Linked DNA regions of Saccharomyces cerevisiae S288C. Changing the gene in region 2 together with the main gene of any one other region gives a genetic interaction. Each region holds a gene or a part of one and is shown on either strand. Other genes may lie near its edges.

Region 1 (5,175 bases), on a different chromosome or scaffold from region 2:
TGCTAATAAATCACGCCTTGGCAATCTTTTATCAGAATATACCTCAATGAAGAGTAAAGCAGGTTCTGGTACACCGAGAGATCTGTTTTGGAGCAAAGTTTCATCTGCCTTCAAAAAGGACTTTGATATATCTGTTAATAGAGGAGGCCCTGTGGGCAAGTCGCTGTTAAAAAATAAAGATTTTATTATAAACACTATGAAGCAAAGTATGAAAAAATCTTCTGATAATAGTGATTACCAAAGCTACTTGGATGTAATGCTAAACTCAGTATCTATTTCTCTAAATAAGTGAGACAGTTTACATAAAATTAAGAATGTTGATGAAATAGGATGAATCTAAAGCAATTTTCAATAGCATGTGCATATGTTTAATAAAAATTACATGAAATGTAATATTTGTTTATATTATTAAAGATTATACTAGTAATAGTTATTATGAGAAATCCAATATCGGTTAGTTTATATGAAGTATTAATATGTATATATATACATTTACGTGGTCATTCTGTCCTAAACTTAGGGGTACTGCCAGCTTTTGCCAGTGGGTTCAAAGGTACCTTTTTTTTGTTTTTCTTTCCACCACGCTTATGAAACTTTTTCTTCAACTGTTTCTTTATCTCACGAGCTTTGGTATCACGCTCCTTGGTTCTTTCAAGTGCCAGTTTTTTGGCTGCACGTTGCTTTTGACCAGGTCTCCTCTTTTTAATCTTCAATTCCTTCTGCTGCTCTAACTCTATTCTCGCATTGTGCTTATACAGATCTATTATTCGACCCTGGCAATATGGCCATTTATCACGAATACGTAGATCATCCTCCAGAATTTTTGTACTTTCTTGTATTATCACATCATAGTCGATAGAGCTCTGTTGGAATTGCAGCTTTTGGTCTGCAGAATAGCTTGCAAAGTAGTAGTCTTTGGGCCTTTCTTGGTTGATTATTTCTTCTTCAGGTTCCTTCAATGAAATTTTCATCAAACTTACTTCAGTCTGTGGCGTATCCTTCTCTTGAGTTGATGAACCTTGTTCTTCTTGAGCTGGGCTAGTCGATGCTTCAACCACACCAAACGAAAATAACGGGAACTCGAATTCTTCTTGTTTTTCTTCCTTTTGTTCATGTGCGCTGTTATTACTTTCTTTGAGATCTAATGATGAGTCGGTTCTTTCAACTTCAACGAATTCAAATTCTGTTGGCGGTACTAATACCTCTACATGCTCACTATTATTTTTACTACTACTATTGGAATCATAATCTTCTCCTAATCCCTCTCCTTCATTATAAAGATCTTTTCTTGATACTCTGCAAAATAATTAGAATATTAAACGATTCGTTGAAAAGTTAGTAAAAAAATGAAATTAGAGGCAAACTTGTATCTTATGTCAAAGCATACATCTTAAATTCAGACATTTTTATACTGAATTTCAATGTTTTTCTTTTTTTTTCATTAGAGGAGATTTTTCCATTGCTGTTTAAATGAAACTGGTCGTATTTTAAGTACTTCAAATTTTTCTTTTTCGTACTGATCCGATGACTTGAAAATACTTATTTTTTATGTAGGAACAGAATGGCATTTTTGAAGTACATAACTCTCACACGCAAAGGCCAAAATCTTTCACGATTTACTTTTATTTCTATCTGTATTGTATATCAAAATCTATACATGATGATCGGTTAATAAAGATAAAGATTAAAGAAAGACTGATTGTTATCTGTTGATACTAGTCTTCATACTCTGTAAGTATTCTCTATAACTAGCACAATTTAAAACTTTGTCTTCGACAAGAGTACTTAATACCCATAGCCTTAAAGAAGCCATATCTTTTTCGGAGTTTAGGTTGGCGGGCTCGTTAATAGATGGTCCTCTTATTATGTATAATGATTGAAATGTGATTGTATCATTGTTTTCTCTAATTCTACCGATTATCCTCCTTAGTCTTTCATTGAAAGGCGAATCGTTCAAAAGAGGCAGTTCACTTTTCCCCACAGGAATTTGAGATATGGTGTCAGTATTGAATACATCTATTAGTAACTCAGGAACAGCATCTCCGCCAACCCATAAAAATAATTCTGCGGAATTGTCAATTAAATACAGGCCATATCTTTCGAAAAGAGATATAGTGGCATTTATAGGTTCAGGAAGAACCGTTTTTCCTTCAAAGTCAGGTAGACCGACTTCGTCGGGCATGTCGTGCAGGGAGTAAACTGTAGGGTAAATGCTCTTTATCAAATAATGAAGAGGCTCCGTTTCCAATCTATTCAACGCACTTGCACGGTAATCGCTTGGAACAACGCCCGGTCTGAGGGCTATATGTTTACTTAGTCCATTCATTAATAGAGGTAACATTCTCAAATTTGCGCATAGGTTAAGTGAGGTTACTGAATTTATATTAGACATCGAAATTTCTTTTTTGTAGGCATTTAAAATATCTTCGAGCGATTTTGTGATAAAATCCCTCGCAGAGTACATGCTTGAATTCAAAGCCTTAGTCACCGCGTTTTGTGTCATGAAATCAGTAATGGCTAGTTGATCTGCGGATGCAAACACTTCCCTAGCTGATTCGGACGTTGGTAGAGCTAACGTCATGACTCTAATTCTACGTTCACCAGTGTTTAGAGTCAACAATGTTGACACTTGCAAGTAGCAATATTCTGCCATTAATGAGTCTTCGATGGATATCCCGAAAAGATAAGACTGATCTCTAGGCATTGTGGAAAAAGCGCATAAATCAGAGGATCTGTTAAAAAAATGGCCAAAAAACGATGTGGCCCTCAAGCCAGTAGAACAACGAACTCTCATAACAGCTTCCATTGAAATATCCATGGATAAATGCCTTGATAATTCCCTAGTAAACTTAGTAACATCGTTCAAACTGGTGGCATTAAAACCAGGATAAAAATGTGTTTGACCACCAGAAAAACGGCCCAGGTGAGATAGAGTGGCAACGTCCATGTAGTCCTCTGATGCCAGAAACATGTCCACTGTTATTTGTAGTTTATTACACTCAATTGTGAATGTTTTATAAAAGGAATCTTTACACGACAGTAGCTGAGAGCTTTCTTTTGGTGTGTTTAATATGCCCTGTTCACTTCTTTTTTTCAATTTCCCGATGCCAGTATTTGGTAAAGTTGATGAAATGACTTCAACTTTGCCTCCAGTGCTTTTTATCAAATTTGACGCAGCTTTTAGGGCAGGTCCAAGTGCAAACTTGCTACTGTGTGTGTCTTGAAAAATTTCAGGTATCTTTTTCAACAATGTTTCCAGATTATTTTTACAATATTTTAGTGGAACTACTAATTCATCACTCGGCATTGGTAAAAATGGTTCATCCAAATCGCCAATATCAAACATTTGAATTGTTTCTGAATTATCAACGTCTTCCTCTTCCTCGTCTTCATCTTCTTCTTCACCATCTGATTCTTCATCATCCTCATCCGATACTTCATAATCATCATCCAAAGGAACGTAAAAATAATGAAGGCTATGATCAACACATATAATAGCAATTCTGGTCCTTCCATCATGATTTGGTAGAAATTCTATGTTTTCTAAAATGGTTCTGGCAGAAGTAGCCAATAAACCATTTTTGACAGCGTTTTGAGAAACATCTAAAAGAAATACATAAACAGATGGTGGGGGTTCCCTAACAGAATATTCTACGGGAGCCAAGTAATCCACGACAGAGTTTTTAATTTCGTTTCTTTCATATCTGTTGATTGGAGCGCCTTGTAAGTTCTGATCAAACCCAAATGGGACATCATTTTTGAAACGGCATATATTACATTGCCATTTTCTCCCTTGGTTAATGAAAACGACAAAAGGGTTCATATATGAACGACAACGGCGACAGCGGACAATGACTCCGTCAGTATTTAGCGGTACTTGGTTGTCTGAATCTTGCAAATGCAAATATGGTCTAATAACAATGGCAAATGGTAACTTCGTTTTCTTCAGCAGAGAGTTTGTTTTTGGCACCGCTTTCAAAGTAGATCTGACGTACTGGTATGGAACATTTGAATATTCGGATGGAGTCACAATGTTATCCTGAGAAATGGTGATTGGAAGAGGTGGTAAAGACAGGTCACGGATTGGCGGAGGTAATTCTGTAAACAAATCCACAGGGTATAGTTGATTGACCACTTTCCCAGAACCAGGAAACTGTTGATTTTGAGCTAGCTGTGTAAATGAGTTAGCCCTATTGTTCAATTGTAGGTTGCCCATTGCATAAGCTGTTTGGTCGATTTGTTGTTGAGACTGCTGTTGCTCTGCAACTATTGGCATACTTGCAATGTATGGCACCTGAGCTTGAGGGTACACCCTCTTCTTATGATGAGACATTATTCACTGCAGCTGTCGATCATTAATGGAAGAAGGTTCATCAACCAAGCACACTGCAAATGAAGGGTTAGATGAAGAGTTCGACGAAGACCCTTTTAACTGACGTATCATTCATCGTTGTCATCGCTACATCTATGTCCTTCGGGTAAGCTAAACAAAAAGTGAAAAGTTCAATAAATAATAAGATTGAGAGGTAAGTGAAGTGAAGATAGATGTTAGTATCCAAGTGTGACCAACATGTTCAGGTGATTGCAGGCGAAAATGGGCAGTGCTTGGACAAACTACAATTTTGAAGAGGTTAAGTCTCATTTTGGGTTCAAAAAATATGTTGTATCATCTTTAGTACTAGTGTATGGACTAATTAAGGTTCTCACGTGGATCTTCCGTCAATGGGTGTATTCCAGCTTGAATCCGTTCTCCAAAAAATCTTCATTACTGAACAGAGCAGTTGCCTCCTGTGGTGAGAAGAATGTGAAAGTTTTTGGTTTTTTTCATCCGTATTGTAATGCTGGTGGTGGTGGGGAAAAAGTGCTCTGGAAAGCTGTAGATATCACTTTGAGAAAAGATGCTAAGAACGTTATTGTCATTTATTCAGGGGATTTTGTGAATGGAGAGAATGTTACTCCGGAGAATATTCTAAATAATGTGAAAGCGAAGTTCGATTACGACTTGGATTCGGATAGAATATTTTTCATTTCATTGAAGCTAAGATACTTGGTGGATTCTTCAACATGGAAGCATTTCACGTTGATTGGACAAGCAATTGGATCAATGATTCTCGCATTTGAATCCATTATTCAGTGTCCACCTGATATATGGATTGATACAATGGGGTACCCTTT
Region 2 (6,856 bases):
AGAATCTGTCGAAGCCTACTTAGTCTCTTTATTTGAAGATACCAACTTGGCTGCCATTCACGCCAAGCGTGTCACTATCCAAAAGAAGGATATCAAGTTGGCTAGAAGATTAAGAGGTGAAAGATCATAGTTTGTTGATTGTCATCAGTTTTAGTAAAAAACGAACAAAAACACAATAAAATATAAATCAATATATTTAGGTTTACTGGGTTCTTTAACAGTTGTATAATAGTTATTTTTTATTACAAAAATATAGGTTTTAATAAAAAAAAATAGGGTTCTATTTGTTTTACATTTATTGATTTGTTTTTCCTGGCGATACCCTCGAAAAAAGCCAGGCCTTGTAGGAGGCAAGATTTATGGCTTTCCATGTGGTTAAAGAAAAATTGCAGCAGGAAGATATTCATTCATGAGTCAGTTATATAATCGATATATAGCTACATATTAAACAACTTGAAGCCGCATACGTGGTAGGTGTCTCATTTTCAATTCAAAATATTTTAAACAGAACCGGAGATGAAGAACCACTTGTCAATAGACTTGTCAATTGGAGCATCTGCCTTTGGAGAAGCTGGTGGGATGGCATCAGAGGCAGCCTTGGAGTAGGTTGGGGTGTCAGGCAAAGTAACATTGGTCAAATCAATACCCTTGCTGTCAGAAGACTTACCAGCAATTAATTGTTTCCAGGAGTCATGTGTTTCCTTGATGATATCCAAAGCGTACTTCTTGTTCTTAGCTTCACCGGAGAAGGCAAATTGGTTTTCTGGCTTACCATCTGGGATTTTGTAAATTCTGAACCATTCGTTAGTAGCCCTCAACAGACCTGGGAAGTATTTCTCAACATCCTCAATGTCGTTCAATTTTGGGGCTAATGGATCGTTAATATCAATGGCAATAACTTTCCAATCGGTCTCACCTTCATCCAATAAAGCCATGATACCTAGAGCCTTAACTTGCTTGACTTGACCAGTGTAAGCAATAGTTTCACCAATTTCCAACACATCAATTGGATCGTTGTCACCAACTGCCTTAGTTTCTGGGTGGCTTACGTTTGGGTCTTCCCAAGTTTGTGGGAAAGCACCATAGTTGTGAATGTAACCATGGTGAGGGAAACAGTTTCTAACAAATCTCAACTTGCCCTTCTTGGTGTCTTGGATGATTGGGTTCAAAGTTTCTTCCTTGGTGATTTCTAACTTGGCGTTGGTCCAACGTGGAATTTCAACAACCATGTTGAAAATGTTGTTTTCCTTGTCAGCGTACAAGGGAATGTCGTGGAAGGCAGAAACTGGCTTACCATCCTTTTCGATATAAACTTTGTATTCCAAGGTGTTCTTGGCACCAATTTGTCTGGTAGTGTAGGTCATTAGTAAATTGCGCGGCGGGATATCCTGTTCTATAGACCTAAGGGACAACAAATCAAAATAGATGATTAAGAAAGTAAGTATTCAAAAACAAGTTGTAAATGAACTAACCTTCCTAACTTCGACGCGACCTTAAAACGTCGAAAAAAAACGAGAAAAAGTCATCATGAGACTATCGTATCTAATGACTGTGGCTTCTCCCAACAACCTTAGCGTCTGCGATGACGATATTTTGAAGAACAGTCAAATCCGTTTGAATAGTGCGCCACACAGGGATAATAATAGCACATTGGCATCTCCTTCTGTGAATGAAACACTTCTACCTGGGCTTCAAAGTCCCGCAACCTTTTAGTTACATAAAATTCGGCGGCTAAATCATGATATTATATTGATGGGTAATGTAGCGTTCAGTAAAACGGTTCCTATGTATTACTATCACGTGGGTGGGGAAGACCACATTCTTAGAGAAGAGTAATCATTTTAGCAGATTATTTTTACCTTTTTCAACTCATGAACTCATGTTCAAAGGTACAATATATTACCCTTTCTTCAAAGTATCCGAATGATTTGAACCGCACTCTGAGGGAGCCATCAAATTCTATTGAGCGACTTCGAATCGAACAATCCAATTAAATCAGCCTTTAGCGCCATATTTCTCCTTGTATCCATTGTTTACTTCTCCCTTGTATCTTGTATATGAGAATTATGGGAATAAGATAATTGTTGGGATTCCATTGTTTTCAAAGGCTGTAATATTAGGTACACAGATTATACTAGAAGTTCTTTTCGAGGATATAGGAATCCACAAAAGGAAATCGATAGTTATACATAATAATATTATTGTATCTTACTTCCTTTTATATGTTGTCACTCATTATTGTGTCGTGCATTCCATTAGATTGGATGACTGTTTCTCAATCTTTATGCCATCCTCTTACACCGCATGTGATATAATAGTAACATGAGTGCTGCGAAATAGATGATATTAAAATTTCATTCCAACAAAGTTCCATATATATCCATATATATATATATATTTCACGAGGATAATGAGTTAAAATACTATGTAAAGGTATTGTGGTTCATTTTTCTTTTATCAATTTTTATCCAAGTTTTTCTGATCTATAACATGTCCAATACACTTTTTCGAACTATAACCGCCAACAAATTTATCTTATAGACGAGAAACACTTTTATGATATCGATGTTCTACACCTACTGCCGATAACACCGTGTTTTCACTATTATAGCATATACCATTTTTGTAACCAATGTGTTGTTGTAATTCTCCGCAAGGCATATCCCAGATATTCTTATATGGCCCATTTCCACTTCGTTGAAGCCTCACATCAAAAGAGCAATCTTGAGATAATTTCAAAACCACACACATCGCTGCAGTTTCATAATATCTGTCATCACTGATGCAATAATTAAGTGACGAAATTATATCATTATTAACAGCTGTATTATTATTATAATCAAGACAAGCTGAATTTGATGCAAATATATATTCCCATTCAGTGCCGTTTCTTTCGAATTTATAGAAATCACTTCTTTGTAGGTAATTGTTCTGGCTTACTTTGAGCTTATTCATGTTAAAGTAATTGTTGGAATAAAAATCCACTATCGTCTATCAACTAATAGTTATATTATCAATATATTATCATATACGGTGTTAAGATGATGACATAAGTTATGAGAAGCTGTCATCGAAGTTAGAGGAAGCTGAAGTGCAAGGATTGATAATGTAATAGGATAATGAAACATATAAAACGGAATGAGGAATAATCGCAATATTAGTATGTAGAAATATAGATTCCATTTTGAGGATTCCTATATCCTCGAGGAGAACTTCTAGTATATTCTGTATACCTAATATTATAGCCTTTATCAACAATGGAATCCCAACAATTATCTAATTACCCACATATATCTCATGGTAGCGCCTGTGCTTCGGTTACTTCTAAGGAAGTCCACACAAATCAAGATCCGTTAGACGTTTCAGCTTCCAAAATTCAAGAATATGATAAGGCTTCCACTAAGGCTAACTCTCAACAGACAACAACACCTGCTTCATCAGCTGTTCCAGAGAACCCCCATCATGCCTCTCCTCAACCTGCTTCAGTACCACCTCCACAGAATGGGCCGTACCCACAGCAGTGCATGATGACCCAAAACCAAGCCAATCCATCTGGTTGGTCATTTTACGGACACCCATCTATGATTCCGTATACACCTTATCAAATGTCGCCTATGTACTTTCCACCTGGGCCACAATCACAGTTTCCGCAGTATCCATCATCAGTTGGAACGCCTCTGAGCACTCCATCACCTGAGTCAGGTAATACATTTACTGATTCATCCTCAGCGGACTCTGATATGACATCCACTAAAAAATATGTCAGACCACCACCAATGTTAACCTCACCTAATGACTTTCCAAATTGGGTTAAAACATACATCAAATTTTTACAAAACTCGAATCTCGGTGGTATTATTCCGACAGTAAACGGAAAACCCGTACGTCCGATCACTGATGATGAACTCACCTTCTTGTATAACGCTTTTCAAATATTTGCTCCCTCTCAATTCCTACCTACCTGGGTCAAAGACATCCTATCCGTTGATTATACGGATATCATGAAAATTCTTTCCAAAAGTATTGAAAAAATGCAATCTGATACCCAAGAGGCAAACGACATTGTGACCCTGGCAAATTTGCAATATAATGGCAGTACACCTGCAGATGCATTTGAAACAAAAGTCACAAACATTATCGACAGACTGAACAATAATGGCATTCATATCAATAACAAGGTCGCATGTCAATTAATTATGAGAGGTCTATCTGGCGAATATAAATTTTTACGCTACACACGTCATCGACATCTAAATATGACAGTCGCTGAACTGTTCTTAGATATCCATGCTATTTATGAAGAACAACAGGGATCGAGAAACAGCAAACCTAATTACAGGAGAAATCCGAGTGATGAGAAGAATGATTCTCGCAGCTATACGAATACAACCAAACCCAAAGTTATAGCTCGGAATCCTCAAAAAACAAATAATTCGAAATCGAAAACAGCCAGGGCTCACAATGTATCCACATCTAATAACTCTCCCAGCACGGACAACGATTCCATCAGTAAATCAACTACTGAACCGATTCAATTGAACAATAAGCACGACCTTCATCTTAGGCCAGAAACTTACTGAATCTACAGTAAATCATACTAATCATTCTGATGATGAACTCCCTGGACACCTCCTTCTCGATTCAGGAGCATCACGAACCCTTATAAGATCTGCTCATCACATACACTCAGCATCATCTAATCCTGACATAAACGTAGTTGATGCTCAAAAAAGAAATATACCAATTAACGCTATTGGTGACCTACAATTTCACTTCCAGGACAACACCAAAACATCATTAAAGGTATTGCACACTCCTAACATAGCCTATGACTTACTCAGTTTGAATGAATTGGCTGCAGTAGATATCACAGCATGCTTTACCAAAAACGTCTTAGAACGATCTGACGGCACTGTACTTGCACCTATCGTAAAATATGGAGACTTTTACTGGGTATCTAAAAAGTACTTGCTTCCATCAAATATCTCCGTACCCACCATCAATAATGTCCATACAAGTGAAAGTACACGCAAATATCCTTATCCTTTCATTCATCGAATGCTTGCGCATGCCAATGCACAGACAATTCGATACTCACTTAAAAATAACACCATCACGTATTTTAACGAATCAGATGTCGACTGGTCTAGTGCTATTGACTATCAATGTCCTGATTGTTTAATCGGCAAAAGCACCAAACACAGACATATCAAAGGTTCACGACTAAAATACCAAAATTCATACGAACCCTTTCAATACCTACATACTGACATATTTGGTCCAGTTCACAACCTACCAAAAAGTGCACCATCCTATTTCATCTCATTTACTGATGAGACAACAAAATTCCGTTGGGTTTATCCATTACACGACCGTCGCGAGGACTCTATCCTCGATGTTTTTACTACGATACTAGCTTTTATTAAAAACCAGTTTCAGGCCAGTGTCTTGGTTATACAAATGGACCGTGGTTCTGAGTATACTAACAGAACTCTCCATAAATTCCTTGAAAAAAATGGTATAACTCCATGCTATACAACCACAGCGGATTCCCGAGCACATGGAGTCGCTGAACGGCTGAACCGTACCTTATTAGATGACTGCCGTACTCAACTGCAATGTAGTGGTTTACCGAACCATTTATGGTTCTCTGCAATCGAATTTTCTACTATTGTGAGAAATTCACTAGCTTCACCTAAAAGCAAAAAATCTGCAAGACAACATGCTGGCTTGGCAGGACTTGATATCAGTACTTTGTTACCTTTCGGTCAACCTGTTATCGTCAATGATCACAACCCTAACTCCAAAATACATCCTCGTGGCATCCCAGGCTACGCTCTACATCCGTCTCGAAACTCTTATGGATATATCATCTATCTTCCATCCTTAAAGAAGACAGTAGATACAACTAACTATGTTATTCTTCAGGGCAAGGACTCCAGATTAGATCAATTCAATTACGACGCACTCACTTTCGATGAAGACTTAAACCGTTTAACTGCTTCATATCAATCGTTCATTGCGTCAAATGAGATCCAACAATCCAATGATCTTAACATAGAATCAGACCATGACTTTCAATCTGATATTGAACTATATCCTGAGCAACCGAGAAATGTCCTTTCAAAAGCTGTGAGTCCAACCGATTCCACACCCCCGTCAACTCATACTGAAGATTCGAAACGTGTTTCTAAAACCAATATTCGCGCACCCAGAGAAGTTGACCCCAACATATCTGAATCTAATATTCTTCCATCTAAGAAGAGATCTAGCACCCCCCAAATTTCCGATATCGAGAGTACCGATTCGGGTGGTATGCATAGATTAGATGTTCCTTTACTTGCTCCCATGTCCCAATCTAACACACATGAGTCGTCGTACGCCAGTAAATCTAAAGATTTCAGACACTCAGACTCGTACAGTGACAATGAGACTAATCATACAAACGTACCAATATCCAGTACGGGTGGTACCAATAATAAAACTGTTCCGCAGACAAGCGAACAGGAGACTGAGAAAAGGATTATACACCGCTTCACCTCCGATCGGATACTTCCGTCATCAGAAAGTAATTCACTACACCATGTCGTTCCTATCAAAACGTCAGATACTTGTTTTAAGGAAAATACAGAGGAATCTATTATCGCTGATCTTCCACTCCCCGATCTGCCTCCAGAACCTCCTACCGAATTATCAGACTCTTTTAAAGAACTTCCACCGATCAATTCTCGTCAAACTAATTCCAGTTTGGGTGGTATTGGTGACTCTAATGCCTATACTACTATCAACAGTAAGAAAAGATCATTAGAAGATAATGAAACTGAAATTAAGGTATCACGAGACACATGGAATACTA

What was found. Genes that interact genetically often act in the same process or in processes that back each other up.
Region 1: mutations in IPP1 (region 2) and YNL050C together harm fitness less than expected from each alone (positive genetic interaction), as found in Saccharomyces cerevisiae (one large-scale study listed by BioGRID).

The regions. Positions count from the first base shown.
Region 1 is NC_001146.8:533,579-538,753, forward strand, and holds YNL050C (uncharacterized protein), read right to left. Parts: upstream 1,405-5,175; coding exon 1,388-1,404; intron 1,297-1,387; coding exon 501-1,296; downstream 1-500. Other genes in the region: Golgi transport complex subunit COG5, read left to right, coding at 1-292; COPII subunit SFB2, read right to left, coding at 1,703-4,333; alpha-1,2-mannosyltransferase ALG11, read left to right, coding at 4,595-5,175.
Region 2 is NC_001134.8:256,612-263,467, forward strand, and holds IPP1 (inorganic diphosphatase IPP1), read right to left. Parts: upstream 1,365-6,856; coding exon 501-1,364; downstream 1-500. Other genes in the region: HHT1 (histone H3), read left to right, coding at 1-130; YBR012W-A (gag protein), read left to right, coding at 3,258-4,580.